Linked DNA regions of Tamandua tetradactyla. The protein of the gene in region 3 interacts with the protein of the main gene of each other region in a pairwise test. Links are inferred from orthologs where the notes say so. Each region holds a gene or a part of one and is shown on either strand. Other genes may lie near its edges.

Region 1 (6,943 bases), on a different chromosome or scaffold from region 3:
GGGTGGGGGGGGCGGGAGCGCACACGCAGCTGGGGTGGGAGGGGTGGAGGTGGGGGAAGGGGGGAATCCCCAGCCTCTCCTCCCAGCCGGGCGCGGGGCCGCGAGCGCGCGTGGACCTACCCACTCCACATCGCGGCGCCTCCGGGCCGCCCGGGCGTCCGTTCCCCGGCGCCGCCGCGTCCTCACTGCACCGCCCCGCGCCGCGTCCACGCCCGCCGCCGGCTCCGCCCCGGCCGGTCCCGCAGCCCCGCCGCGGGGTCAGTCCTGCCGGGCCGCCTGTCTGTCTGTCTGGGCGGGCCCCAGCCCTCCCGTCCCCAGTCCCCAGCTCAGCCCCGACCCTGCCCTCCGCGGGTCACGTGGCCAAGGGGGTGGGGGGAGCGGCCCGAGGTGGGGGTGGGGGTGGGGGCATCGCCTCGCCGCCGAGGCGGCTGTCAGACGTGCCCAGCTGATGACTCCTCTCCACTCACCCCGCGCCCCAGCACGGAGAAGCACTCCTGGGCTGCCTCCAGCTCAAGAACCTGCTGTGGCTCCCAGACCCTCGACTGCCCGATCCTCACGCGGATTGTCACTTAAGGCCAGCGGACCCCCGCCCACCCCTCTCCCTGCCCTCCTGCCACTCCTTCCATGGGCTCCCTGGTCTGTGCCTGTGCCACACCCTGCCTGGTGGGGAGAGGGGACAGGCCCCAAAACAAAACGAGTTTTCTCCTTCCTATCCTAGGAGCTCTTGTCGGAGGGAAGTAACCCTTCTGCCCTAACCGCCTTACCCAGCCTCCCCCCACAGGGACCCCTCCTCTTCTGCCTCTCAACACATCTGCCCTCCACAATGCAGTGTACACGCATGCGTGCGCACGCACACACACACACACACACACACACACACACGTCAGGTCTCATATCCTCTGCAAAGCCTTTCCCTGAATCCCAGACCACTGGTCTACCTGTCCCGCAGTCCTTCTGTCCCACCTACCTGAGCCCTGACCATCAGCCTCCCGCTTCAGCCTCGGGCTGGATCCAGTTAGAGCACAATCCCTCTTCTTTCCTGTGAGGGACCTTGGCTCCCACCCATCTCCCTGTGGGTGGAGGTATTGGGGGGAGCGGCACCCCCCTTCCACAGATGCCCCCCGGAACTCTGGGCAGTCCTCTTTTAGGCCCCCAGATGCTGGGCCCCAGGCTTACGTTTGTCCCATCTCCATTTTGGGGACATGTGTCATCCATTCATCCATCCATTCAACCACCACTCCCTGAGCACAACCTGTGGACCAGGCAAGGGTCTCTCTGGGGACCCAGGAGAAACAGTGCAGACATAGGCCTTAGCCCCCTTCCTGGTGAAAGATGAGGGCTGGGGGACATACTCTCAAAGGCCCCCACTTCCAGGGCCACCGTTTGGTCAGGGCGCACCTTGTCAAGCCCGTGGGGTCTCTGTTCCGAAGAGAAAACTGTGTCCCTTCCCCAAGTAAGCACAGCCCAGACCAGCGTATCGGACTGGGGAGTGGAGGGCAGGTGGCATGTCAGGCCTTGCCCGCTCCCTCCCTTAGCTGTCCATCACCTTGTGCAGTGAACAACCTGGGCAGCCCTCCATGCCATCCCTTCTGGCTTTCCAGAATCATTCAGCCCAGATCTCCTATGCCCTTCGCTCTACAGGGCGATTGTTTCCATGACTGTGGCTTTCTAGGGGCAGGGACCAGCGCCTCAGTCCTGTGTTCCCCCGTCTGCCACTGGCTCAGCACAGAGCCTGGCCAAGAACAGGTGTCAGCATCCGTTTGTAGATGCAAATCCTTCACCAAGAAAGTCTTGAGCACCTGCCTGTGTTCCTACCTCTTTCTCTGTACACTATCTAGGGGAAGGGGGAGAAGAAGAGAAAAGGATCCCAGTAAATGTCCCTTACCCTCCAAGTCTTGACTTGGTAGATAAGCCCTGGTCCAAGTTATGGGAGCCCAGACCATGGGAGATAAGGGGTGGAGGAGGTGTCCGCCCTGGAGGAAGAGTCTTCAACCCCAGGAGAAAGGGTGGGCTGGGAAGGTCCTTTATGAGCCCTTGAAGGTCAACTGTGGGGTCATGACCCCAGAAGCAGAATGTCAGCTATCCAGGTACTGACCATGAGTATACTATCAATTATGCATCCAATCACCATGGCTTCCCCAGCCTCATCTGTCCCAGCAGCCCAGAGAGCCCCACTCCTCAGCTGAAAACAGGCTCAGAGAGGTCAAGGCACCTGCCTGTTATCACACAGCCAGGGATGGTGGGGCTGAGACCCTTTACTGCCAGGTTTCCAAAAAGACAACCAGAGCTCACTGGAAGCTGTTGCTGCATGCATGCAGGCCACAAGGGGTTCCTGAGCACTTACTAGGAACCTGGTCGAGGAGTCGGGGCAGATAGAAGTAAACGTATATTCTCTGCCTATGAGCTACTAAACACCCCTGGCCCCCAACCCAGCCTTGGAGGCAAATGAGGAGCTGGAAATAGCCAGCCTGGAGAACTCAGTCCTGGTTCTGGACTTAGGTTTGTTTTCAGCAAACTGTGTGACCCGGGATGAGTGTCTTGCCCTCTCTGAGCCTCAGCCTACACCCCTATACAACAGGCAAGCTGGACAAGGTGCTCAGCACCAGCCCTGGCTCTGACCCTTATAGGAAGCTCCTGAAACTCCTCACAGCTCTCTGCCAGCTCCCAGTCCAGAGTCCAGCTTCTCAACCTTCTGGGGCCTCCACACCCCAGCAGAGTGGCAAGATCCCCCTCCCCTCCTCGTCCCAGCTCCTTGGCTCACCTGTCTCTGTCCCAGTGCTCTTCTCCCAAGTTGCCCTCCAGGGCAGGGCCTCGGCCCAATGGGGCATAACGGACAGTCCCTGCACTGATGGCCAGGTACATGGGGCATGACCCTCGGGCAGGGCACCCAGTGGGCTCTTCCACTTTGTCCATGCTGGGGAGACCAGATCCCTGCAGGGTCCCTCTGCAGACTGCCAGGCGGGCAGATGGCCGGAGCTTTCTCCCTGCTCCCAGACTGAGCCTCACACTAACCTTTGCTATCTCTGAGGAGCAGCGGCCTGTGAAGGAGGCACCTCCTAGATAGTTGTCTATCTCCTGAAACCCCATAATTATTAACTCACATGGCTTAGCAGGCCCTGCAGAGACTAGGGCTAGGAGGAGGTTTTCCACTACCTCCTTGGGGCCCCAGGCTTCAGCCAGACCTGCCCAAGTTGGCACGTTGGAAAGATCCTGTCCTGTTCTGGCCCTGCCACTAGCAGCTGGTGTGACCTCGGGCAAGCCCCTTTTGCCCCTGTGAGCCTCGGAATCCCCTTAAAACTTTTAGCCACCAAGAAAAAGGGTGGGGGTTGTGTGTGCAGGGAACACGGGCCTGGAGTCAGACAGGCTGGATTTAAACCCCACTTCCAGACTGTGAATCTTTGGGCATGTAAGCCTCTCTGTGCCTCAGTTTCCCCACCCTCTAAGACACACCAGACCAGCTGCTTCGCCCAAACACACCCTACATACCCCCTTTCCTCACATTATCTCTTCTGTCTGCAGCCTCCCACTTGCTGATGAATTTTCCTTTTCTCATGCCTCCTCCTCCAGGAAGCCTTCCCTGTGGATTGCTTCCTTCCTTGTACAGGTGCCGGGCTAGAGCTCTCAGACAGGTGGTCAGCCCATGGAACTGATGGGCACTCCCATGAGAATGGAATGACCCTGGCTGGCCAGAGGGCTGGCCCACCCTCCTTATCAAATCCTTCTCAGTGCCCGCTTGCCTGGCCCACGGTCAACCTTGATCCACCCCTGAGATGGTTTGCATGTGCCACCCTCTCTCCTTTAGGCTGAGTTCGAATCCTGGTTGTGCCAGTCTCTGGACAAGAGTTATTCAACCTCTCTGGGACTCAGTTCCCTCATCTCTAAAATGGGAACAGTTCTCTCCTGTGAAGTTGTGAAGATCAAAGAAGTAAAGGTTGGTGAAGTGCCTGCCGCAGTGTGGACTGATGGTCCCTCCTCCTGTGCCTTCCCTCTCCTTTCCCATCAGCCTCTGGGGCCGGCTGCTGCGGAGAAGCTGCCAGTTCCGATCTGCAGTCACACCCCGCCCGGGATAACAATATCTCCCACTCGGGCTTCGAAGCTCTCAGCCTAATGCAAACCAGATGCTGGCCTCCCTTTCCTGGCAGCGAATTTTCCATGGCCTGCTCCCACCCGCTTCCTGTTTTTGGTCCTCGCTGAACCCCTGCTAAATTCTCCCGTCCCTCCACCTTCCTCTGCTGGGCAGCCTCTGGGCCCACCTGGAAACAATTAATGGAAAACAGGATGTGTGAAGGGGTGGAGGTGGGGGTGGGGGGCGGGGGGGCGGGGGGTGTCTCCCCATTGCCCTGACATGGCAGGAGGGGAAGGGGCTTAGCCTAGCTAGTGGCAGAATTGGTCAGAGTCGGTGCCTTCCTGCCAAGCCCCAGGCAGCCTCCTTGGAGGGAAACTGAGTCAGAGCTGCTCCGGGGACTCTATGAGATCAAACTTGCTACTTCCTGGACAGCTGGTTAGCTGGGAAGCTGTGAGGACCTTGGCCTTGGCTGTGATGACTTAGGAAAAAAGCAGAGTCAGAAAAGGCTCAACCCTCTCCTGTTGTGGATGAAGAAACCAAGGTTTGGAGACCCGTCCAGGGAGCCAAGAGGCAGCCGGGCCTGGGACTGCTTGCCAGTAAGAGCTGCTGCTGGGAGTCCTCTCCTGGTTTGCTATCTCAGCGTCCTTTCTCACCGCCCTCCCCTGGCCCCCACCCCTTCCCGGTGGCATTGAGCCATGAACCCAGTCACGAGGGGAGGTTCACAAGGTCACCCACCGGCCCCCCGCCTCCACTGCCCAGCCACCTCCCGGCCAGCAGGCGTCGGGCAGCCATGCCCACCTGGCTGAGGCAGCTCGATGCCCCCTGCCAGGGGCTGGGCACCCCGGAGGGAGGCCTTTGGGCAAGCCGCAGGAGGCTGGGGGCTCTTCCTTTGGGGGTGGGCCTTCAGCCCTGTGGACCCCCTCAGCCAGGAGCTGGTGCTCAGAGTAAGGACTCCCCCATTTCCATGCAAACAACAGCCCGAGGGCTCCCCAGAGCCAGACTCTGGCAGCCCTGCCCTCCGCAGCTGTGCGGAATGTTTGGACAACCGGATGGAATATTTTGCAGTGAGAGTTCTCCCTGGATCCCTGGGCTCATATTTCAAGAGGGAGGGAGGAGAGAGGATGCTGGCTCCAGGGAGAGGGGAAGAGGCTCGGGAGGTCAAACGTGAGTCTGGCCCCACCTACCCCCTTGCCCCAAGGTCTGACCAGACCACCGCCTGCCCAGCCCCACCTTGAGGGAGAGCTGGAGTCAGGCCCAGACCCCTTGGGGAAGGGCAGGACAGAGGGTGGAGGCGGTTAAATGGTGTCAGAGATTTGAGTCAGTCCAGCCTGATGAAGTCAGGCCCCAAGGACTCTCTGGGCTTGGGGAGAACTTGGAGAGCGCTAAGATCCCAGGACAGAGAGGGTTCCATCTACCATCAGCCCCATTTTACAGATGGGGAAATTTGGGTATGCAGTGGCCAGGTGCATCATCCAGGTGAAGCAGCATGCCAGGTATAAAAGGGGGCTAGAATCCAGAGCTCCTGCTTCTCAACTTACTCTTCTCACTGTGCAAGAAGTTCTTACCCTCACCCCCAGCCCCCAAAACATACCCCAGCCAGTGAATCGTCATCCTTGCCCTTCCCCCAAACAACACAGGCAAAAAACCTCCCCAAGTGCGGTACTCTAAGTTCACAGAGAATACGCAGACACCAAGCTCCCTGCTGGCCTCTGAGAGAGGACAGTAACCCACTTTTGGACAAAGGGGTAGGGACTCTGAGAAGCCAGGATTCCTGCTCTGGGGACAGAGCTCCCACAGACTCCCCAACACAGCTTTCCAGGCCTCCTGGAGCCCCTTGATGAACCCTCTTCTCTGGCTGAGGAAGACACACAAGTCCTTGACACAACTATGTGGAAGATTGCTTGAGCCTCAGTTTACCCACCTCAAAATTGGGAGATTATCCTGGCTCCACTTGATTCATCATCATGTTATGGGGGTGCTGGTGGAAAGGGAAGGGGGCTGGCGAATTCCTTTGGAGATTTAGTAGACATTTCCCAGCCACTAAGCCATGGGTGCTCAAATGAAGATGGGAGGGAGAGGATTCCTTTGGAAACAAATTGGTGTGGGAGACCCTTCCCAGGTGCCTGGGTTGCAGGACTGGATTCCTAGAGGATGAACCTGTTTGCTCACTCCCATTTCCCCAGCAGGAAATCTCAGACTGTAATGGAATTCAGGAACTGGCCGAGCCTTCAGGGGTAGACAAGACTAGTAGAGGAGGGTGTGACCTCCCAGGACAGCTGATAACTCCCTTCCAAAATCGTGGAATGCAGGGTGGGGCTGGACTGTGCAAGGATCTTTACATATAATTATCTGACATATAATTCCAATAGTTTGTGACTTCAATCACCCTCGCAGCCACCAACTGGCGTCCTTCATTGCTTTCTCTTCTCATTTTAAAGATGAGAGAACTGGGGCTTGAAGAGGCTAAAGGATTTGGCCCAAAAACCAACAAATGAAGAGAACTAGGATTTTAATACAGGTTTGACCTATTCTTATCCCCCCACCACTCACCCTTCAGGAAGGATGGGTAAGGTGAGACGTTTTAGAGGATGTGGGGCTTGATAAATAAGCACGATTTAACTATGTAGACATAGAGAAAGGGACTTCTGTGCAGAGGAACCAGCAGGAAGAAAGGCTTGGAGATGAGAAAGACCAGGGTTTTACAGATATACGCAAATTATTCACTTTGGCTGGAGTTCAGGCTAAGGTCGAGGATGCCAAAGAAAAGGCTAGAAAGACAGGCTTAGGTTGGATCAAGAAAAGCTTTGAAAGCCAAACTAGAGCATTTGAACTTTTTTCTGGAGGTTCCAGGGAAGCTGTGAAACATTTTTGAGCAAG
Region 2 (7,206 bases), on a different chromosome or scaffold from region 3:
GCTCAACAATGATTCCGAGACCTGGTGCTTGAGTTCCACGGGGAACAGAGGCACAAGTAGCATCCTCCTGCATATCAGCCAGGCGTGGGTGTATGGCAGCCAGACCCTGGCACTGTGAAATTTTCAAAGGACAGTTGAGCTGGATGAGAGAAAAGGTTTGCCCATGCAGAAAACGTATGTTCCTGGCAGAGGCGAGGAGGCGATGACCAGGAGGCCATCTCTCAGTATTGGAAACAAATCACTCAATTTATTAATTTTCTTGAGCAAAACAGAGAGGCAAACTCCTGTCACGTGGGACACAAGGTTAGATGGACTTCCGGGGGCAGAAGGCTTGGGAACAAGATTGGCCTTAAGGTGTACAAGCTGTGTCTGTTCCTGATTGGCTGGCGTTCAACAACGTAGATGGCCCTGATTGGTTGGCTGACAAAGCATGTGTTTACTCCTGATTGGCTGGTATTCTGAGGCATGTGTGGCCCCCTGATTGGCTGGCATTCAGAGGCGTGGTCAGGGTCGGATGTGATTTCTGGGTGAAACAGATTGAAAAATCATTTCCCGCGGTGTCTTATCGTGGAGACAGAGCAATCAGTCCTTTCCTAAACATACAGAAATTCTTTCATTCTCAATGGTCTCAATGGACGTGAATTGTCGGGGTGGCTCTGAACAACGCTTATTTGTGTTACGGGACAAAGTTTGTGGGTTCTTTTGCCCTTGTGTGCAAATGGCCAATTCCTGAGACATTGGGGTTTCTAAGAGAAAAAGAGTTTATTGCTAGGCACGTATCAGGAGAGCAGATGACCTAACTGACCTAAAAATCTGTCTCTCTGAACTGCAGTAATTCTGATAGTGTTAGAGTACCAAAGGACGGGCAGGTTTTCGGATGATGAGCACAAATGGCTCAAGATGATGGGGTTAGAGATGATCTAATTATTGAGCATGTGCAGACTGATTACATGCTTACCCACAGAACTTATATAAAAAATGGTGATCTTCATATACTGATGGGCGTGATTTTTAGTATTATAATGAGGCATAGGCCACAAATGGGTTAAAGTCTAAATTACTGTGCAATGTCGGGCAGGCCCATTTGGGGTAGATCCAGTCTCCGTTATCGAAATAACCTTGGGCTTGGGGTGGGTTAGTTCTGGGCTGACCCAAGACCTTTCATTAATAAACTTTAGGGGCTCTCTTTAGTGATCACAAAACTCTAAAGTAAAAAAATTAGATAAACGGGTACAAGTGAAGGTTAGTCATCAGGTTGTTTATGATCACAGGGGCACATTATCAGAGATCAAGGCAGCTGCTTTACAATTCAAAGATTTCAGGTATTTCCCTTTGTCTGCTCTAAAATGCCAGAAAGTAAAAAGGAGTATCTATATAATATAAATTCAGTAACCACAATCATCCCTTCAATCCTAACTTCTTGGTTACATTTGGGGAACTGCCCCTCTCTTCTCTCCAAGCCCATGGGATTGGGGGCTGGCCACGTCACACCAGTAGGGGATAAGCTGGGACGCCCTCCTTGCAGACAGCAGCAACCAGTGCTCTTCCCTCCTGTTTTGAGAATGAAGGAAACACTGAGGGCAAGCATGAGCTCGTCCAGTCATCTCAAGGCAGGTCCCCAAAGCTGTCCTGATAATTTAGTTAGCCAATAAGCCCTCTCCCCTCGTTTTGGTTGTGGGGGTCCTGGGGAGCCACGGGAGGGCTGTGAGCGGAGGAGGGGCAGCCGCATCTCTGGGCATTGCTCGCCTCCCCAGGGCCCCCTCGCCCGACCCCGCATGAGTGCCCAGGAGCAGCTGGAGCGCATGCGGAGACACCAGGAGCGTGGACGGCCCAGCCCTCGCCCCACCTCGCCCCGGCTCCTCACCCTGGGGAGGACGCTGTCCCCAGCCAGACGCCAGCCTGATGTGGAGCAAAGGGTGAGGGGAACGGGGTGGGGCAGTGGGGAGTGGGGTGATCGTGGGTGCCTCTGTGTCTGCTCTGAGCCACAGTTTCCCTCTCTGTAGAATGGGAATGCTCCCTACCCCCCTAGCCAGAACTGGGCTTCCAGATTCACCCCAACTTGTACCCGTGCTAAAGTCTGCCTTCTGGCTCCCCTCGGTGGAGTGAAAGTGGGGAGGAGACTGAAATAACAGCTCCACCTAAACCACATTCCCCCTTCAAGGTGGGGGTCTCCGGTCTGGATTCCAAGCCCAGCTTTTCTTCTCAGCTGCTATGAGTTGTCAAAGGGAGAAAAAAGAAAATCATCCAAATTAGGAAATTGATTTTATTTGGGCTGTTGCAATAGGGAGAGCACCCCAGATCCAAAGATGGGAGGGGCTCCATCGGCAGGGTGGTTTAACTTTAGACTTTTATAGGGATGTGAAGACAAGTTATAGGGGAAGTGATTCCACAGCTGTCAATCCTTCAGCTAAACAGGAAATGGTTATCTCTGTATCTAGCTAGCTTTGGGGGGCAGAAACAGTTCAGCGGATCGTTTACGAAATAAAGGATGGGGATTTGGAGGGGCAGTAGGGGGGGTCACTAGGAGTTCTAGCTAAGTCCTGTGGGGAAGGGAGCTGTTTCCAGGAACAGGAGTGGATGGGGGCCACCTTAACTCACCTCTTTTCCAGGGCTGCAAAAACAAAAAAAAAACACAATAAATTATAATTTTAAAAAGCCGGCCCCGATTTTCCACGTAAGGATAATTCTAACGACCCGATTCCTTCCCAGCCTGGCCTAGACTCCCTGGGACAGTCGGGAGCCTCGAAATGGCTCAGAAGCTCGGGGTCCTGGAGTAGGTGAGGAGTGGATGGTGGCGGCAAGGGAGCAGGGAAATTAATTTGCCAAAGGGGAAGGGAGTACCATCATTACTATTTTAAAATTATTTTTATTGTGGAAACATGCAAAATGACATTTCCCATTTTAACCACTGGCAAGTATACAATTCAGTGGCCTGTCATTAAGATGAAATTCTCCCGAGTACTGACATACAGGTGGCAGAATCTATTAAAGACGCAGAAGTTTCTGAGAGAAAATCAGAAAGCCCTGGCTCTCCGGTGAGAGCTGCAAACTTGTCCAAACTCCGTGGGTGGATTTCCCACCTTGCCCCTCCTTAGAGGAAATCGGCTTCAGTTTCGGACGCCTGGCTTAGAAATCCCCTAACCCACGCGTGGGACGCGCCCAGTTAAGGACCTGCAGAGACACATCTAGTGAAGCACCCGCGGGGAACTTCCGCTCCCACCACAGCGGCGAGTTGGACACGCACCCCCAAATCTCCCCTTTTTCCTAGTCCGAGGAACACCACCCCATACTTGCCCACGTCCGAAGGTCACCGGGAGCGGGTCCTCAGCCTGTCTCAAGCCCTGGCCACTGAGGCGTCACAGTGGCACAAAATGATGACAGGTGACGCGCTGGGGGCTGGGACCCCTGGGATTTAGGGAACAGGGAGTGGGAGGCCTGGAATCCTAGGTCCTATCGAGGAGGGGGCTGCGGGGAATGTTGTCTGGGTGAGGATATGGCCGGATCTTGAGAGTCCTAGGTCCCAGGCAGTGGTGGAGCTGGAGAGACCCCCGAGTGTAAGGGAGGAGGGGCTGGGGGGGCCTGGACTTGGGGGTCTGGGGGCGGAGGGGCTGGGGCCGGGACTCCTGGGTCGTAAGGTTTGCCATTCTCGTTCCCCACCCGTCCCCTCCAGGTGGAAACCTGGATGGTCCGGGAGAACCTCTTCCATCCCCGCCGCCGCCGTCGGACCCCACGCCGCGGCTGATGTCTCCCCCAAGCTCTCCTCCCGCGGCGACTTCCCGCCCGGCGGGGTCCAGGCGGCGGGGTGGTGGGCGCGGCGGAGGCCCCGCCCCCTGGGAGCCCACGTGGGCAGGCGAGGCCGCGCCCCCCGCCCTGGCGGCGGCTGAGGGGGCGTGGCCTCTGCGGGTCACTCTGCTGCAGTCGAGCTTCTGAGCCCCGGGACGCCCCAGCCAATCGTGGGGTGGGGGGCGCGGCCTGGTCCCCCCGCTGTGGTGTGGCCGGGAAGGGGGGCGGGCTCTGCACCCGGAGTCTGGTTTTCTCAGCACTGACCAAATTCGGAATAAAACTTTGAACTTTTGGTCAACAGTTTTCTTTCTATCTTTTTGGGGGTTTGGCGCAGGAGTGTCTGGAAAGCAAAGCTGGAGGCCGGGACCCCTGGGTCTGAGGGGGAGGTTCTGGGGGCCCGGACCCCCGGGTCTGAGGGGGAGGGGCTGGGGTCGCACTTCCGGGTTTCCACCTTTCCGGCACCGCCCCCGAGGCCGGCCCGCGCGGATCCAGCCCCTGTTTAGCACTTGACCCGACGCCCCCCAGCTCCTCCCCGGATTCTGGGGTTGGAAGGGGGCCCAGAGTGAGGGACAGAGCGAGGGACGCAGCGAGACGGACAGTTGGGCCGGGATGGCCGCGGGCGCGCGCTACGCGGGGAAGGTGGTGGTGGTGAGCGGGGGCGCGCGCGGCATCGGCGCGGGGGTCGTGCGGGCCTTTGGTGAGTTGGGGGCTCGTGGGCTTTTGGGGCCTGGGGCTAAAGGTGTGGGAAGGGGGCCTCCAAGCCCGGCCTGAGGACCCGCATCCAGTCTCCATGGCTAAGGACAGGGTGCCGGCGGTCGCCTGGGGCCAGAGGTTTTGGCGGGGTGTTCAAAAGTTAGTTGGCCCTTCTCGGGGTCTCAGTTATGGTAGCTACAAATGGGTGGCTCGGGGAAGATGGGTTGCCCAGCCTTGGGGTTTACTCTGGAACCCAGGGGTGGAGGAAAGGAGCCAAGGCCTCGCCATGCTAGGGCCTCTGCCCTTTGTCCTTTGGGATCACGAGGAAAACACACGGGGGTGGGGGGGGGTTCTGCCCCACTGCAGGTGGCCTCAGGGGAGCAGCAGAGGCCATTGCCAAGGTACAGGCAGGTAATCAGTTGACTTTTCTATTCTCAGTGGAGAGTGGAGCCCAAGTGGTCATCTGTGACAAGGATGGTGAGGGACCCTCCGCCCTTGCCCCAGCCTTCCTCCCTCCCTCAGACCCCCGGGTCCCCCAGCCCCTTCTCCCTCAGACCCGGGGGGTCTCCCTGCAGAGTCCTGTGGCCGGGCCCTGGAGCAGGAGCTGCCTGGAACTGTATTTATTCGCTGTGATGTGACTCGGGAGGAAGACATGGCGGTAAGCCTGATTCCTGCCCCTGCTTCCTGTCGCTAGCGGCTACCATCTCATTTTCATGTCTTTCTCCACGAGGCTGAGGCTGTGGCAAAGCTGTCTCCTCTTCCTTCCCTCCTCTCCTCATTAAATTCCCCAAGGCATCAGCCCAATGTCATTTGCCCCTCCAGGCTCCACTGATTCTGCTGATGTCTCTCTGGAAAGTTCTCTTTTATTTCCGTCTTCTCCAGGGCTCTTATCACAGTTATCAGCTGCGTGGAAGTGACTAAGTCCCTCACAGTGAAGGAATTCCGTAACAATGTTTCCTCCCCCACCCCTCTCTCTGGGTCTCTGCCCCCTCTCCCTGGGTTTCCGTCCCCTCCTTTTTGTCCCTGGACTGACGATGGAAGTCTGCGTTGAACAGTCCGTTGGTATCTGACAGCCCTGGCGCCCCCTCACCGCCAGCTGTGGGGAGCTCCCTGGCCCCCGGCCTCTCACAGGACACCTTTCCCCACAGACCCTGGTTGGCGAGACCATCTGCCGCTTTGGCCGCCTGGACTGTGTGGTTAACAACGCTGGCCACCGTGAGTTGTGAGGTTGGGCCTTCCCCAGTGCCAGCCAACCTGCCGCCCTTCTATCGCCTCCTGTGCCTCTGTTTCCCCTTTCCCTGCCCCTCCTTCTCTCTATCCATGCTGGTAGAACAATGCAGCTATGGGATTCCCCAGGCCTGGACGCAAATCCTGGCTGTGTTCATCCCTGCTGTGTGCCCCCAGGCCCGTGTCTTCACTTCTCTGTGCCTCAGTTTCCATATCTCTACAATGAGGACAATAGTAATAATCATAAGTGTTTCCTTATAGGGTTGGTGTGAGTACTGAATGAGACCCAGCCTTGAGCCTGCCCCACTTACATTCCATCACCACTGTAGCTGCTCCCTGCCTTGTAGCTTCAGTCTGCCCATCTGTGAAGTGAGGCCCATGGCCTTTCTCTTAGCTGATGACAGCAAGGCTGCCCCGTGGTGCATGGTTTATAGGACTTGGTAAGGTGGCTTCGAAGGGAAATTACCACTGACTTCATGACTGGCCTTTGTAGGAATGCCTCAGTGTGGTAAACCGGGGCTCAGAGAGGTGACCTGGCTGGCCTGGCATCTCCCTTGTCAGCTGGGCAACTTTGAGCAAGTGACTCACCCTCTCTGGGCTGTATCTTCCTCCTCACGTTGTTGTAAGGGTTTAAAGAGATGGCGGTTGCTACTTTGTCCTTTCTGCGTCCCTTATCCCTTCTACAAATACATATTGAGCAACTACAAATACAGTACATAGATCTCTATGTACGTACATATGTACATCTCTGTGTCTCTATTGACAGAGAGGACAGGAACATGACAAAGTGGTGGCAACTGATGCCATGAGACAACTTCCTATCCCTGGGCTTTGCTTCTATCTCCCTGCCCCATCCTTCCGTTTGGCCCCTAACGTTGTCTTCAGATGACTCAGTTTCCTTCTTTTCCCACTTCTTATCTTTCCCATCATCCTCTATCCCCCCCCCCCCACCTGTTTGTCTTCTGGCTGTTGGTTTTTCTATCTCTCTTCCCATAGTTCCCAGATTCCTCCTATTTATTTAACCAACATGGTTGCAGTACAAACTGTCAGGTACAAATATTGACCCAGGAAATTTCTAAGCCCAAGGCCTAGATGTTACCCTCATGGAGTAGGTGTGGAAATTGAAGCAAAGAGAGGGGAAGTGCCAACCCAAGTCCCGCAGCCAGAAAGTGTCAGGGCTGGGGTTCTAGTTTGCTAGCTGCCGGAATGCAACACACCAGAGATGAATTGGCTGCTAATGAAAGGGGATTTATTTCGTGAAAAACGTGTCGTTCTTCAGAGGAAAGGCAGCTAACTTTCAACTCAGGTTCTTTCTTATGTGGGAAGGCACAGGGTGATCTCTGCTGGCCTTCTCTCCAGGCCTCTGGGTTCCAACAACTTTCCCCTGGGTGATTCCTTTCTGCATCTCCAAAGGCCTGGGCTGAGCTGCGAGTGCTGAGATGAGGTATGCTGAGCTGCTTGGGCTGTGCTACGTTGAGCTCTCTCATTTTAAACACCAGCTGA
Region 3 (7,255 bases):
TCAGTAGGGCCGGTGGAAGATGAAGAAAGGGTTTTGGTCTGGCTTGGGCTGAAGTTGTAAAAAGGCAGAGGCACAAGCCTGGGGGCTGGCAAATGACAGGGAAGGAATCTGAGCCCAAGAAGTTCAAGGAGAAAAATGCACAAGTAAAGAAGCAGGGGCAGACTTTATAGCTTGTCTCCCATCTGAAATTTCTCCAGGAAGTTCTCAGGGTTCAAGCAGTGAGAGGGTTAGAGTTGGTTAATAAGGGATGTTGTTCCCTCTCACCACCCCAGTCACATCCCTTCCTACCAGGTGACAGAAGGGCACCCCCCACACTCAGACCTCAGGCCTCCTCGTGAGCCGGTCTGTCCAGCCACCCACCCACCTGACCTTGGAGCCTCGGCATGCTGTCAGGGAAAGGCCTGGTGGCTGTCAGTGGAACAAGGGAAGCAGCTTCTCTTCTGACAACCATCCCACCTTCCTGCTCATTTCCTTCCCACGGAGACATTTAGGCAGCAAAGGGGAGGTAAGCGACACCCGTTTACTCAGCAAGGGACCCTCACTCGGAGGACCTCCCCCAGTTTCCCTTCCATGCTCTAAGTGCCTGAAAGGATTCAGATGCAGGCCTTTTCTAGGTGGGCACAGAAAATGAAGACTGTGTGCCAGGGCAGGGTCAGAAAGTCCCCACCTCCCTGACAAGGAGCTTCAGGGCAGTTGGGCCTTTGACTCCTTGGTTGGTTGAAGGCACTGTCCTTTCTGTCAAGAGAGATGGGAATCCCTCTGAGAACCAGGAGAACCCCAGTGCAAGAGGATCACAGATTTCCAACTTCTTGCCTCTTGGCAGAGGAATGGCGAAACCATCGTGGAAACACAGATGTCCAGCTTCTTGCCCGCTTCTGGCACCTTCCTATCTGTTGACTGGGACAACAGATGATTCCTGAAGCCTCTGTAAGAGCTGACTTTGTAGGTCTTCCTCCATCACCTTCCACCAAAAGAATTTCTCACCCCGAACCTTTGGGGGCTCATTTTGGATACCTGGGTTCCGAAAAGCCACTGTCACCAGCACATTTAGGCAAATGCCATCTGTATGGTCTTTGCCTAGATGCTGCAGTCCTAGCAACCCCTTGGTCTCCACTGCTAAGTGGTGCAGAGTCAGACATTCCTGTAGCAGCCGCAGGATGGCCATCTTGATGCCACCCCTCTGCTCCACTGGGGTGAAGCCACAGGCAGTGATGGGCAAGTGAGGCATCCCCACTGTACCCACCAGCACCCACACAGCTTGGACACTGGTAAAGGTGGCCACGAGCCGCTGGCAAACCAGACTGCAGGGAAGCTCTTGAGGCAGAATAAGAGGGTGACTGGCTCGCTGGCCATACTGGGCAGCTAGCTCTACCAGGTGCAAAATGTCATGGGCTCGCAGTGGAGTGGGCAGGGAGGTCCGTGGATACCAGCCAGCCTGCAGGGACTCCGCGTCTGCCTCCTTTGAAGTCTTAAGAATTCCACCTAAGGGGAGATTTGGAGGGCAGAGGGGAGGAAAGGGTCTGTGCTGAAAGAAGTGCCAGATCTGGCAGAATAAAATGGATACCCAGGGAGGAGACCGAAATTCTCAGGGTGGAATCTGGGCCATGCCAGGCTGTGGAGAGGCTCATCTCACCAAAGGACAAGCAGGCATGAGATGGGGTGGGAGTAGGGGTGTCAATCGTTTCCTGCTCCCACTGCCATTGGGTGGGACATACCTGTGGCCTGAGCCAGGAATGCAAAGCGGATCCAGGAGAGGCCCCGTTCCTCCACAGCCAACAGGGTCAGAGGCTCACACTGCAGCCCGGCCTCCTCCTTCACCTCCCGTTGGAGCGCCTCCACGATGGTCTCCCCTGGCTCCATTCTCCCCGCGGGTAGGTACCACGACCCGCGGCATTCTCTCTTGGCCTCCTGGATCAGGAGCACCTCATCCTGAGGGGACACAGAGGATCCTCACCTCCCACCATAGAGCACAGCACAAGCAGAGGCCCTTCCTCTCCATATGACAGCAACAGTCAGCCCTGAGGGATACCCTCAAGTTGCTGAGCTCTCCAGGGGACAGGGCTGTGTGTGAGGCTGTTTCTTGTCTGCAGTTGGGCCCTCTTTGGATTCAGAGACTTCCATTTCAGGAAGGGGCTGAGATTCCTGGGGGCTGCTTCCAGGGGCCGGGGATTAGACCCCAGGGTGAGGTTACCATGTCTGTGGACGTGTCACTGTGAATCTGTCGCCTCCCCAGATGGTTTACCAAATGCTCGTGTCCAGCCGCAACCCAGCCCAACCATGGCCCTGTCCCTTACTAGCTGTTATTAGAGGAACGTGTACAGGCATCAGCACCCAAAAGAGCACTGGACAAGGAGGTCAGACGTCTGAGTGCGAGCGTGGGCTCCGCCATTCCCATCCGGAGGATGCAGGGGAGCTCTCTCAAGCACTCCACAGACCTTTAAGAGGGCCGAGAATCCACCGGACACTGTGCCAACCTCCTGGCAAAGAAGGAATAAGACAGCCCTCTGCTCAAGGGCTTGACACGCCAGGAGCAAGTTCTACGAAGCTCCTGGGCCTCAGTTTCCTTCTCTGCATATAGGGATAATTGCAGGGCTGGACCGCCACCAGGCTCAGGGGCAAGTGTGAGTGAAAGTGCTTTGCTAAATTACTGGAAAGCGCCCCGCACAAGCAAGCGGTGGGTGAGGCCACTGGCGTTTCCGAGGCCGGGGCGGCGGGCTGGCGGCCCCGGGCCCCGCTGGGACGCTCACCTGCTCGTTGAGGAACACCGCCAGTACCACGTAGCAGACGTTCTTCCGCAGCCGCACCGGCGCCGGCGGCTCCTCGGCGGGCACCGAGTCCCAGCCCTGCACGCGCAGCCCCCGGCCCCCCAGCACCGCCGCCAGCGCCCCCGCCAGGCCTTCCGAGGCCATCGAGGCCCCTGCGGGCGGCGGGCCCGCAGTCTGCAGAGCGGGCTGAGTCGGGGCGGAGAGGTCGGGGGGGGGGGGGGGGGACGAGGGGGCGAGCGAGGGGAAGGTGGGCGGGGGTCCGTCTCCGTCTTCCCCTGACGATTCAGTCCGCGCGCGCTCGCGGACGCGGAAGAGCCGGGCGAGCGCTCGCGGCGGAGAGGCTGCGCGTCACCACGGCCCGCCTACATAGGTTGGCCCGCGGCGGGCACGGGGGCGGGGCCAGCCTGGAAGGGGACGCGGCACCCCTGCGGGGACCCGGGCAGACCCCTGCCCCGCCGCCGCTGCTGTCCCACCCGCCCTGCTCTGTCTTTTCGGACGTCTCCCGCCCCCGACCTCGCTGGTTCGGCTAGCGCGCGCTGGTCTGCGGGGTTCTGACGGCGTCGTCATCCTGCCTGCGGGGCAGCGAGACGCCACCGCGGCCGGCGACGGTGGCGTCACAAGCCCGATGACGTCACGGAGGCCCGCGGTTTGGACTGTCCAGATCGCCTTAAACATGCGATGGCTTTGCCCCAGAAGATCACTTCTTAGATTTCTTTCTTCTTTCTTCACTAAACTGTATGGGATTTAACATAGCAGGGGGAACCGTAAGCCCCCGCTGTAGAGGAGATTCCCACTTAGTTGGCAAGATGGACATATACGTAGGAAAAGTCACCCCAGGGGTGTACGCCAAGGGCTAAGTGAGTGATGTGGGTATGAGGTGTGACAGGAGCTCGGAGGAGGGAGGGGGCACCACTGGGACGGACAAGGTGGGGCAGGGCTGAGGAGGGAAGGAGGGGATTTCAGGGACAGACTCAGAGAAGATCTTCAATCTGCCAGCCGAGCCGTTATGTTACCCCGCCCTCTGCCCACCGTGTATTTCCAGGTGGTTCCAGGCCCCTCTCCCCTGTAGACTGTGGGCCCTGCCAGGGCAAAGGGGTGTCTTGCTCTGTTTTTGCTGCCCTCCCATGGAGCACGCACAGGCTGGCACAGTGAGAGCAGGGTGTGGGCTGTTTTGGGCGAGTTCCTGCTTCTCTCCCAGCCTGACCTCTCCTCTGCAGAACTTCCTTTAACCTCCTCTCAGGACAGGAAGTCAGGGCCAGCTGGAATGAAACTGGGAAGCAAGCAAACTCTATGTGCCTCGCCCCGAGTAGGGGCCCCCCTTTTCTCTTTCCCCTCGTGCTGGCTTTGTGCACCTCTTGTTTTTTGGTGAGATTGGCTGTGATGGAGAGGACCAAGTACTGGCCTTGAAGCCATAAGGCCCGGCCACTGCTTGCTGGCTTGCTCTGCGTCCTCAGGCAGGTTATAGGTCTCCTTTTCCTCATCTGTAGAGCACCCTTTCCTTCACAGGGTTGTGGGGAGGGTACGGTGAGATGTGGAGAGGAGCTTTGTGGACCGTCCATTCAGGCAGAGCAATGCACCATCACCAGACTGCCCACGAAGCCTCCAGGCAGGGCCCTCCTGCGGCCAAAGTAGGACCTACCCTCATGAATGTGCCGACAGGGCCACTATAGGACTAGACTTGACTCTCAGAAACTGCAACCCCAGCTTCTCAGTCTCCACAGGCCCTTCTCACATCCTGCACTGACTGCGGGTTCCCAGGAGACCGGGTGCTGTGTTGCCCCAGGCCAGCTGGTGAATGCTGCCGCCCCAGCCATACCCAACACCACCTCACCTCCCAGACACCTGACTGTACAGGGTGGAGTCGGGACCCCAAGACTACAGAGTGACCTGTCAACAAATCTGCTGCCCGTGTGTGACCCTCAGTTTTCCCATCTGTGAAGTAGGGACAGCGTTGTTCCCAGACTCCTTCCTGCCTCCCAGGGATGATTTGAGTGAGAGTGAGGTCACGTCTGGGCAAGGATCTGAAGCCTGACAAGCAGCCTGAGATAAACAACAGACGGCCTAACCGCCTGGAAGTGCCAAGGCGGCTCCACTCCCCGCATCAATGCCGAAGAGGAAAAGCATTCCGCTTCTCTCCAGAGGGCCTCACGTGAGGCAAAGGAATGCGAAGCCCCTCGTGAGCCGTGAAGGGCTGCATGGGATGGGTGGGGTTTGGGGGTAGTCGGTACCCAGCCCTCAGAGGGAAACAACAATGAAATGGACTTTTCTCAAGGCATTGGGAGGACGAGAGAACACAGTCAGACTGGGTAACATGGGAGACACTGAGCAGAGAAAGAGAAATGCTGAGGGAGGGGGGCTGGGATAGAAAAACCCGGAGGCCGAGGGATGCAGCTCGATTCGTGAAGAGACCCAACTGGTAAAGATGGCCCCACAAAACTACAAAACCCCACAAAAGAAAAAGGCTTTCATCAACGTTTTCTCTGTGTCCTCTTTGCCCATGAGGGATGAAAACTGGCTGGGGTGGGTGGCCGCAGGGACGGTGCAGGGTTCCCAGCGCCCAAGATTCCCAGCCCGAGCTAGACGTTTCGAGGCATGCGCACAGGCACGTGCGTAGGAGCACGCATGCGCAAAGGCCCGTGACTGGCACCCTCAGGGACCGGAAGGGGCGGGGCAAGGTCAGAGCCGCCTACCCAAGAGTAAGGCTTTTTGCCCTGAAAGCCCACGTGAAGGCTGAGGAGGACAACGGTGCAAGCTCCAGGCCCTTCTGTGGAGGGCGTCGGGCTTCCAGATGGGCCCTGCCGCTAGGTTGGCCCCTCAGGGGTAGGGTCAGATCTTCCCCTTAGGCCAACTGTAAAAACAAGGTACTATTGGATCCTGTCATAAAGAAAGGACGTAAGTGGGAAAACTGGTGAAATCCCAAGAAAGTCTTTTGCTTCCTTAATAATCAATCTATCGGTGTCTCGTGGCTAGGTAAGGTGTTAACTTAGAGGAAACTGGGTGAAGGGTAAATGGGAACTTTATGCCATCTTTGCAATCCTTCTGTAAATCTAAAATTATTTCAAAATAAGTCTCCAAAACCTTACTTTATAAGAAAAAGGAAAAGAAGGCATCGGAGGTACATCCTATGAGCTCCCCGCCAGCCCTGAGGGTTCTGCTTCTTAAATATTTGGGTCAATGAGGAGGCCTGGAAGCAGACGGTGGACAGTGAGGAGAGGCCTGTGAGAAGCAAGAGGCTCAAAGGGCAGTCTGGGCTGGGATTGAGCCGGCCAGGCCTCCATGGGGGTCAGTGCCACCCCCTGCCCACAACCTGAGGCACTGGGTCACTCCCCACCTGGGCTGGCTTCATTCCCAGGTCCATCTCTGGAATAAATGAACATTGATCCATCTGCTGATTCCAACACGTCAGACCAATTATGCCTTTAATGGTGCTGTGACCCCCCCCATGAAGGATTGGGGGGGGGATGGGGTGCTCCATGTGAAGAGAGAGGCCCAGGGACTCGGTGGTCCCCATCCCAAATGGGAAAAATTAAGAGACCATCCTCCCATAGGAAGGACCTCGTGTCTTGGGTTCTGGGGTAACATCAGGACACAGCCAAATAAGGTGAAATCTAAGTAGGAATGGGTCATTCAGTGCTACTTGGAAGATGATCAGATAGAAAGTACGTAATGTTGGAAGGACAGAGAAGAGGGCAAGCTCATCTTTAAACTGCATTAAGAGCTGAGACGATCATGTAAACGAGGTGGCATGAGTCAGAAGATTTGGTCCAAATCCCAGTTCTGCCACTAAAATTGCTGAATGTCCTGGGGTAGTTTACTTAACCCCAGCCTGCCTGTTTCTTCTTTAAAACAGAAATAAATAATGTCTACCTTAAAATATTGATGAAGGATTAAATGAGATCATATTTATGTCAAAATACTGGTGTGGTGCCTACTATAAGTGTAGGAGTCCTCTATTTTTCTTTCTTTCTTTTTAATCCCACGAAAAAATGGAATTAACCTAATTTACCAAACAATGAAGAAACCTAAATTTCAGGAAGAAAGAGGGCTTGATAAATCGTGGCAAAGCCTCAATCGACTGTAAGCAGCCACTTAACATGACGCTTAGGTAACAACATAAAAAATAATTATATTAAGATAAGTAAATCAACTACAAAACACCAATTCAACCACATGTGAAATAGACCCTTGGGGAAAATACCAGAAGGAACTATACCAAAATGCTGATAGTGATCAGGCTGAGCATGCTGGAGATAGGCTTCCAGGTGACTTTTTCTTATTTTCTAAATCTTCTGAAAGTATATTACACTTGTAATAAAAAAATTTTATTTAATAATAAAAAAAATTCCCTGAACCACCACAGAAACAATTAGGTATAACAACAGTTGGAGCATTTTGCGATCTCAAGGGAAGGGGTGAGGGGAAGAGTAACACCAGAGGGGTCACAGGGCGTGGGCAGAGGGGGCCAGGCAGTCAGCTGTCTGAGCTGTGAG
Region 4 (7,216 bases), on a different chromosome or scaffold from region 3:
ACAAGGCAGCCTCTTCATTCCCCAACTTAAACCTACTTTTTCTCAAGCACTAAATTAAATCAAACAAATCCCACTGTTCTCTGTTTTACTTAATTACCAGCACCATTTCCCCTTATTTGCCAGCCGCCCCCACCCCAGAAGAATTACTGCTTGTAATTCCCAGCTGTCTCCAAGACCCTCCTACTGCTACTCTGAATGAAACAGGTTTTGTGCTGGCCTGGAAATCTAACTACTTATAACAATTGTTTCCAGAGAGAAAAGCCAGCCGAGACCCAAAAAGCAGAACTGTCAAGAAAGTTTAGCAACATAACCCGACTAGTTCTCTGGGGATTGTGTGCTCATGGAGACTGAAGGCGTTAAGCCAAGTGCTCTGCGCTCAGAGGAGAGCAACACAAACATCTTGACTGTCCAGCTCCAGGGGCAGCTTCCCGGGGGGTGGCCCTGCGTGCACGTCCCGGGGAAAGGGTGAGCCCGGCCGAGAGCAGGGACACCACGAGCAGCTGAAGCCGCTGGGGCAGGACTTCTCCAGAGATATGGGCAGAAAAGATTCTGGGGCAGGTGCCCTTGAAGTCACCCAGCAGTGCTGAAATAACTTACTAAGTTCAGGGAAGCCCAGGGTCCGGCTGTGGGGAAGAGAGGCTAAGTCCCAGGAAACACACAGACTGAAATGGTTTCCCTCAAGGGCCGAGATGAATGAGCCACTCTTTCGCTGAAACAGGGCCTTCCAATCCAGGAAGGAAATGTCCAAGAAAGAAGCAACTTGTTCCGAATCAAAGCCAAGGGGCACTTGGAGTGGAGGAAGGAAAAGGAAGCAGGACTCGGGCGCGTGCAGGGCACGCCCTGTCCCCACCAGTGACAAGGAAAACCGGGCGGGTCCACCAGTGGCCATGGTGCTGGACTCCACTGCCCTGAGGTCTGGGGTTCCCTCCCAAGGATTCCGTACCAGGTCGGGCCTCGATGGACCATCTCTCCACGGGTCTCCCTGAGTCTCCACGGTCACCAAAGGCGCCCTCCTGCTTGCTAGGTGACCTACCCCCAGCCCAGACGCTCAAGGCTGCCAGGGTTCCCCCCCAAAAGTTGGTGAGATAAGAGCTCCACGTGGCGGCCTGGCCTTGCTGCCCACCCTGATGCACCAGACCGGGGCCTGGGTTGCCGGGCGCTAGGCCTGGGGTGCGGGATGAGGGGCCTGGGGTGCGGGGTGAGAGGCCTGGGGTGCGGGGTGAGGGGCCCGCGGTGCGGGGCGCCGGGCCTGGGGTGCGGGGCGAAGGGCCTGGGGTGCGGGGTGAGGGGCCTGGGGTGCGGGGCACGGGGCCCGGGGTGCGGGGCGAGGGGCCCGGGGTGCGGGGCGAAGGGCCTGGGGTGCGGGGCGAGGGGCCTGGGGTGCGGGGTGAGGGGCCTGGGGTGCGGGGCACGGGGCCTGGGGTGCGGGGCGAGGGGCCCGGGGTGCGGGGTGAGGGCCTGGGGTGCGGGGCCCGGGGCCCGGGGTGCGGGGCGCCGGGCCTGGGGTGCGGGGCGAAGGGCCTGGGGTGCGGGGTGAGGGGCCTGGGGTGCGGGGCACGGGGCCTGGGGTGCGGGGCGAGGGGCCCGGGGTGCGGGGTGAGGGCCTGGGGTGCGGGGCACGGGGCCTGGGGTGCGGGGCGAGGGGCCCGGGGTGCGGGGCGAAGGGCCTGGGGTGCGGGGCGCCGGGCCTGGGGTGCGGGGCACGGGGCCTGGGGTGCGGGGCGAGGGGCCCGGGGTGCGGGGTGAGGGCCTGGGGTGCGGGGCGAGGGGCGAGGGGCCTGGGGTGCGGGGCGAGGGGCCTGGGGTGCGGGGTGAGGGGACTGGGGTGCGGGATGAGGGGCCTGGGGTGCGGGGCGCTGGGCCTGGGGTGCGGGGCGCTGGGCCTGGGGTGCGGGGCCCCGGGCGTCTGGCCTGGGCGGGTCCCCCGCGCGTCCCAGGTACGCTCTCGGCGCTCGGCAAGTCTCGGAAACCGCGCGACCTCGGGTTCCGCGTGTCCGCGGGGCCGAGGGGGCTGCGGGGACGCGGCCAGGGCCCAGCCGAGCGCCGGCAGCGGGAGGGACACAGCGGCCGCAGCGCCCAGCTTCCCCCGGCCGGCCGCGCACTCACCGCTCGCTGCCGCGGTCGCCTGCGGAGGCGCCTACATGCCCGGCCGAGCCCGCGGGCCTCGCCGTCGCTACCTGGCCCCGGGCCCCGCGGCCGCCGGCTGCCCCATGGCCGCCCCTTCAGCGGCGCCGGCGCCCGCGGAGCAGCAGCAGCGCCGCCGCGGCCCGGCCCCAGCGCGCAGGCGCGCCAGACACGCATGCGCACTGCAACCCGCGCCCGCCCGCGCCGCGCATGTGGGATGGCGGCGCCGAGACGCCGGCCCCGACGGGCGCCCTGGACGCGGGTCCCCGGCTGGGGGAGGCGTGCGACGGCCGGGGCGGGGGGCTGGAGGGCGGGCATGGCAAGGACAGGGAGGGGAGGCTCCGATGAGGGCGCGGCCGGCGGGGAGGGGGGCGGCCCGAGGGGGGTGGCAGCCGGGAGGGGAAACTGACCCGCGGCTGGAGGGGGCCCGGAGGGGCGGTGTCCGAGAGGGAGGGGGCGGCCCGCAATGTGGGGGACCTGCGGCAGCCAGGAGGTGGGGTGCGGAGGACGGACAGGAGGTGCGGGGTGCAGTCAGGAAGCGGGGGTCAGCAGGAGGTTGGGGGTCAGCTAGGAGGGTGTGGGCAGGCAGGAGGGGGTCCGCCAGGAGGTGGGGCTGATCCGCGGCTGGAGGGGCCCGGAGGAGCGGTGTCGGAGAGGGAGGGGTCGACTGGTGGCGGTGGTGGGGACCCGGCGAGGGAGGGGGGCCTGGGAGGGGTCCGGGCCGTGGGGCAGGCCCCGATGGCGGCGGCGAGGCCGGGGCGGCCTCCCGGGCGCTGCACTCACCTCGCGGCTGCGGCTGCCGCTTCGCGAATGCGCCTCCTGGGCCCGGCCGAGGGTGTAGGCCGCCGCCTCGGACTGTGACCTTGGCCCCGGCCGGTCCCCGCGCGGGTGGGCGGACTTCGGGGGCTCAGGAGAGGTGACCCAGAGCGCCGGTAATTGGGTAGGGACGGGGGCGTGGCCGGGCCTAGAGCCGGCACGTTGGGCAGCCACAACCGGGTGCAGCTGCGACGGAACCTCCCGCCCGGCCAGCCGAGGGGCGCGGCCCGTCTCCGGGTTCCCCGCCCGCGGCGACCTTCGGCACCCCGGGTTGGGGCTAGAACCGGGCAGGACAGGCCCGCGGGGCCTTGGGCCTGGCCCCTCCAAGGAGCCTCTCGAGCGGGGTCCCGCCCCATGCGCTGGAGGACCAGGAAGGAGTAGGAAGCGCGGAGGTCCCGAGTGTCAACTTTGGGGATTCCCGGATCTGGGCAGGAGCAGGTTCTCCTGGGGCTGAACCGATGGCTTCCTGCATGAAGGGGGCAGATGGTCCAGCTGCCCCTGGCCCGGGCTGTAAACTGAGGCAGGGTCACCATGGGAGGGGGAGCCAGGCAGCGCTGTCTGAGTGCCAATCCCCACTTTGGATGTTCTTTCCCTTTGTACGAACCTGTCTCGGCAGGTCATGGTGTGCTCCTTCCCACGGGGCACCTGGCCCAAGCATGTGGAGCCGAGTTGTGCCCCCATTTCCTGCGGTCACAGCACCAGGCACACTGAGGGACGACCTGGATGGCGCGGCTCAGGTGTCTGCCTTCAAAGGGCCCTGTGCCCGGACTGCTGGGTGGGGCAGGGGTGGGGAACTTAGGGGATTTCTCAAGCTCTGCAGCTGGCGGGGTTGGGTATTTTGTAAACCTGACCGCTTCCCCAAAGGGGCCACCGGCCACCCTCACAGCGGGAGGCAGCTCTGGGCGCCCACTGAAGGGCGGGCCGGCCCACAGGCCCACCCCATTGCAGGCAGAGCCCTGCCTGTGTCACTTACCCGTGGTCACACTGTGGCCCCCTAAAGGGTACTTGGGCAGGTGTCCTGGGAAACCAAAGGGTGCGGGCAGGGAGGTGTCCTGTCTGGGATAAGGCCCGGAGGGTGCAGCTTCCTCCCTGCCCAGCGGGACCCTGGCATCCCAGGCGGAGCTCACACCCCTGCAGAAGGCTTACAGCGCACGGCGTGTCACCCTGACCCAGTCTTGGGGCATCTGGAAGGTTCCTAGAGGTGGCTTTGGCTGGGCTGAGTCCAAAGGCCAATCCCCGCCTGCTGGGGACGGATGAAGGCCGGCCGGGCGCATGTGGGCCCTGTGCCTCGGGGGCCCGGGACTAGGAAGGCATCCTCCCTGCACAGCGGGGGTTGGGGGTCCTGGCAGCTAAGCTGCAATTGCACAGGGCAGCTGTGGACTTTCTAATGGGACGGCATTCTATAAGCTCTCCTTGAAGATGGCGCGCCAATGTGCTTCAGAACCCCCAAAACCTGTGCACCCCCTCTTGCGGGTTGAGCCGTGGGGGACAGAAGGGAGAGGTGGGGTGGGGGAGAAGAGGCACCTGGCTGTGGAGGGCGGCGCTGGATGAGGCTGCTCGCCCAGAGGCGGGTGCTGTCCTGCGGCAGAGGGCTGGGGTGCCCCTGGCTTGTGTGTGCAGGGGAGGGGGCAGGGCTCTAGCTTTCCCTTTTGCAAGGGAAGTTCATTCAACTGTGCCTGGCTGGGGTCAATAGAGGCGAAAGGAGGCTGCTGGGCAAACAGGAAGTAACCAAGAGCCTGGGTGGCTGAGTGACCAGGGCTCCCTGTGGCTCTCCTTGCCATCTCGGCCATCCCCCAGCCTTCCTCCTGCAGCCAGCAGGCCCAGCCCCCATTCCAGCCCCTGAAAACCATGTCCCCAACCTGACCTTTGCTCGACTCAGGACCCAGAACTGCCCACTTGACCAAGTCCAACCCCAAGTCAGGCTCTCATTTTTGGGGGGCAGGGTGAGGCTCTTCCTATATGCCACCTTTGCCAGGCACACCCTGGATTCATCAGAGATGCCCCTGGCACTCGCCTTTGATGAGGCAGCGAGGCAAGAAGTATCACTAGTGAGAGAAAAGGAGCAAGGTCAGGGCCTGGTGGTGACCGTCCCCACCAGGTGCATAGCGTGGAGACCGGCAGGGGCCCTCTTGGTCACCTCTGCCTCCACGCAGCATGTCAGAACTCACATTGAATCCTCACAAAGAAGAACTTTTGTTAGCCTCATTTTTTCCCCCTCTGTGAGGAACCTGAGGCACAGAGAGGCTCAGTAATTGGCTGAAGGTCACACAGCCAGGAAGCCAAGGACAGCGTTTGGAGGCAGCCAGGCAGAGTCTGGTGCAGACGTGGGCAGGACGCAGTGCCCGGAGTGGAGCACACTCCTCCAGCAAGCACCCTGCACATCCAGGACCCTGTCCTCTCCCATCGCCACGGCTGCTCCCCAACCCCGCCCTGACCACACAGGGACCTGAGGCTGCAGCCGGCACCCTGGGGACCCCCACTGCCATCTTCAGGCAGCACTAAGAGCCAGACGTGTCCCCACTTAACTGCGGTGCTGGGGGTGGGGGTGTAGAAACGCGGGACACATGCAGCCCCAGGCCCAGCCACCAGAGGGCGCCACGCCCCCCCCCACCCGCTACGGTCCCACAGCTCCCCTCCCTGCTGTCCCTGGGCACCTGGCCTTACCATGGACTGAACTCCCAGGGGCTCCCCCTTTGTCCTGAGTGGGAGGGCGCTCCTACGGGCACAGGGCCAAGGACGGAGGCAGCTAGGAGCACTTTGGGGGACCCGCTTGCCCTTCTTGGTGCCCAGGCCAGCGCTGCCCTGTGGAGGTCCTGCCCGAACCCCAGGGGAGGCCCCAAAAGAATGTGATCTCCAGCTGCCCCGCCACCACACTTGGACACAGCAGGGAGTGGCCCCAGCTGGTGGGGGCCACCGGGGGACATGCAGAGTGAGGGCTGCTCCCGTCTGGGCCCACGGGCCACCTGGGCTGGGTGCTTTCTGCCAGGTGTGCCCCAGGCCAGCACAGGAAGGGCAGAAGGCTGGAAGGGACAGCTGAGAGGCGCGCCTGGGGGGACTCCAGGTCCTGGTTTGTGTCTCAGGCCTGAAGGGTGAAACCCCAGGCAGTACTCAGCCGAAAGCCCTCGTTCCCAACACTGCCAGCTGCCTGCCCTTGGCAGAGACTGCAGCGCGGTGTGGGGCGCCCCAAGGCCTGCAGGGCTATGGGCCCAGGGAGAACCTTGGATGCTCCCAGCACGGGTGCCTCCTGGAGGAAGCTGGGAGGGTTAGAATTTGCAGAGAATTCACGTGTCTATGAAGAGCAGATTTATTTCAAGGAGAAGTGGGGGAGAGGGCAGGCAAATGCACAGTTCAGCTGCCAATCACTCCCACCCCAGCAGCCCAAGGCAGCTCGGGTCAGCCGCCCCCAGGCCGCAGCTGCTCCTCAGGGGAGGGCAGGTGCTGCTCTGACGGAGGCTGGGGTCCCCATGGGGACCTGCAAACCCAGGAGAGCCCCTGCTGCTGCTGAGCTGTGGCAGGAAAAGGGGTGAGTGGCAGGGGCCTCCAATAGGCACCTCGGGCTTTGGCTGGACCACTGCCCACTGGAGCATTTTCGCTATGTATGGAGATCACACTGTTACTTCTTATGACCTTAGTGAATATGTAAGTTTTTTAAGAAATGTGTGTGGCTAGGCCCAGAAAGTAAGGGTGGGGGTGGCCTGGGAGGGGTGCACGGACGGCGCTGACCCCACCTTGCGGTTTTGTGCTTTGCCCTGGTCAGAGCAGACGCACATTTCCTCCGTAAGATGCAGGCCGAGTTTGTTAAGGAGCCTGTCCAGCCTGGGAGCGCGTCCTCGGGGTGTGGGTCTCTTGGAGGGTACAGGAAGAGAAAGGGGTGGCGAAGTGCACAGGAGAGCACAGGCGCAAGGGCAGTCCCAGGCAAGAGATGCCCGTCGGAGGCCAGGGCTGGTGGACCCTCTCCGCAAGGACCTGTAATGCTGAGCACCCTGGCGGCCTCCCAGAGGAGCCACACACTCCACTTCTGAATTCTTTGTGATGTGGACCAAAGACACAGGAGCAATAAGCCGGAGTGGCCAAGCGGGTGCCTGCGCCACAGGGCACAGGGAGGCTGAGAACACCCACTGCTCCAGAACCCCAAATGGCCCTCAAATAAGCAGCCACACCCATGTCCCTCCTGTCAAACTGCTTTATTACATCTTAAATAACAGCACAGTTTTAATAGAGTATCTACCTGGCATCCAGCTTCCTTGCAGTACACTGACTTTAAAATTAAATACAA

What was found.
Region 1: the proteins of NUDT18 (region 3) and RAB3IL1 interact in binary tests that used the Homo sapiens proteins (3 or more experiments, as listed by UniProt). The two-hybrid records come from large-scale screens. The link is inferred for Tamandua tetradactyla from reciprocal best matches to the Homo sapiens genes NUDT18 and RAB3IL1.
Region 2: the proteins of NUDT18 (region 3) and HSD17B14 interact in binary tests that used the Homo sapiens proteins (3 or more experiments, as listed by UniProt). The two-hybrid records come from large-scale screens. The link is inferred for Tamandua tetradactyla from reciprocal best matches to the Homo sapiens genes NUDT18 and HSD17B14.
Region 4: the proteins of NUDT18 (region 3) and NADK interact in a two-hybrid assay, tested with the Homo sapiens proteins (2 studies listed by BioGRID and IntAct). The two-hybrid records come from large-scale screens. The link is inferred for Tamandua tetradactyla from reciprocal best matches to the Homo sapiens genes NUDT18 and NADK.

What each region holds. Positions count from the first base shown.
Region 1 is NC_135335.1:13,053,374-13,060,316, reverse strand, and holds the start of RAB3IL1 (guanine nucleotide exchange factor for Rab-3A), read right to left. Parts: upstream 3,016-6,943; 5' UTR 2,914-3,015; coding exon 2,762-2,913; intron 191-2,761; exon of another isoform or gene 132-190; coding exon of another isoform or gene 121-131; intron 1-120. UniProt on the Homo sapiens protein: Guanine nucleotide exchange factor (GEF) which may activate RAB3A, a GTPase that regulates synaptic vesicle exocytosis. Promotes the exchange of GDP to GTP, converting inactive GDP-bound Rab proteins into their active GTP-bound form.
Region 2 is NC_135342.1:12,213,014-12,220,219, forward strand, and holds the start of HSD17B14 (L-fucose dehydrogenase), read left to right. Parts: upstream 1-4,203; 5' UTR 4,204-4,392; coding exon 4,393-4,480; intron 4,481-4,914; coding exon 4,915-4,953; intron 4,954-5,030; coding exon 5,031-5,134; intron 5,135-5,624; coding exon 5,625-5,691; intron 5,692-7,206. Other genes in the region: PLEKHA4 (pleckstrin homology domain-containing family A member 4), read left to right, coding at 1,755-1,916, 2,710-2,777, 3,269-3,381, 3,671-3,930. UniProt on the Homo sapiens protein: Catalyzes the NAD(+)-dependent oxidation of L-fucose, yielding L-fucono-1,5-lactone, which rapidly converts spontaneously to L-fucone-1,4-lactone. Can also act on D-arabinose and L-galactose, with lower catalytic efficiency. Does not use NADPH.
Region 3 is NC_135329.1:22,739,844-22,747,098, forward strand, and holds NUDT18 (8-oxo-dGDP phosphatase NUDT18), read right to left. Parts: upstream 2,945-7,255; 5' UTR 2,910-2,944; coding exon 2,748-2,909; intron 1,930-2,747; coding exon 1,716-1,929; intron 1,483-1,715; coding exon 887-1,482; 3' UTR 506-886; downstream 1-505. UniProt on the Homo sapiens protein: Mediates the hydrolysis of oxidized nucleoside diphosphate derivatives. Hydrolyzes 8-oxo-7,8-dihydroguanine (8-oxo-Gua)-containing deoxyribo- and ribonucleoside diphosphates to the monophosphates. Hydrolyzes 8-oxo-dGDP and 8-oxo-GDP with the same efficiencies.
Region 4 is NC_135328.1:223,211,716-223,218,931, reverse strand, and holds the start of NADK (NAD kinase), read right to left. Parts: upstream 3,008-7,216; 5' UTR 2,908-3,007; intron 2,207-2,907; exon of another isoform or gene 2,107-2,206; intron 1,122-2,106; exon of another isoform or gene 944-1,121; intron 787-943; exon of another isoform or gene 598-786; intron 1-597.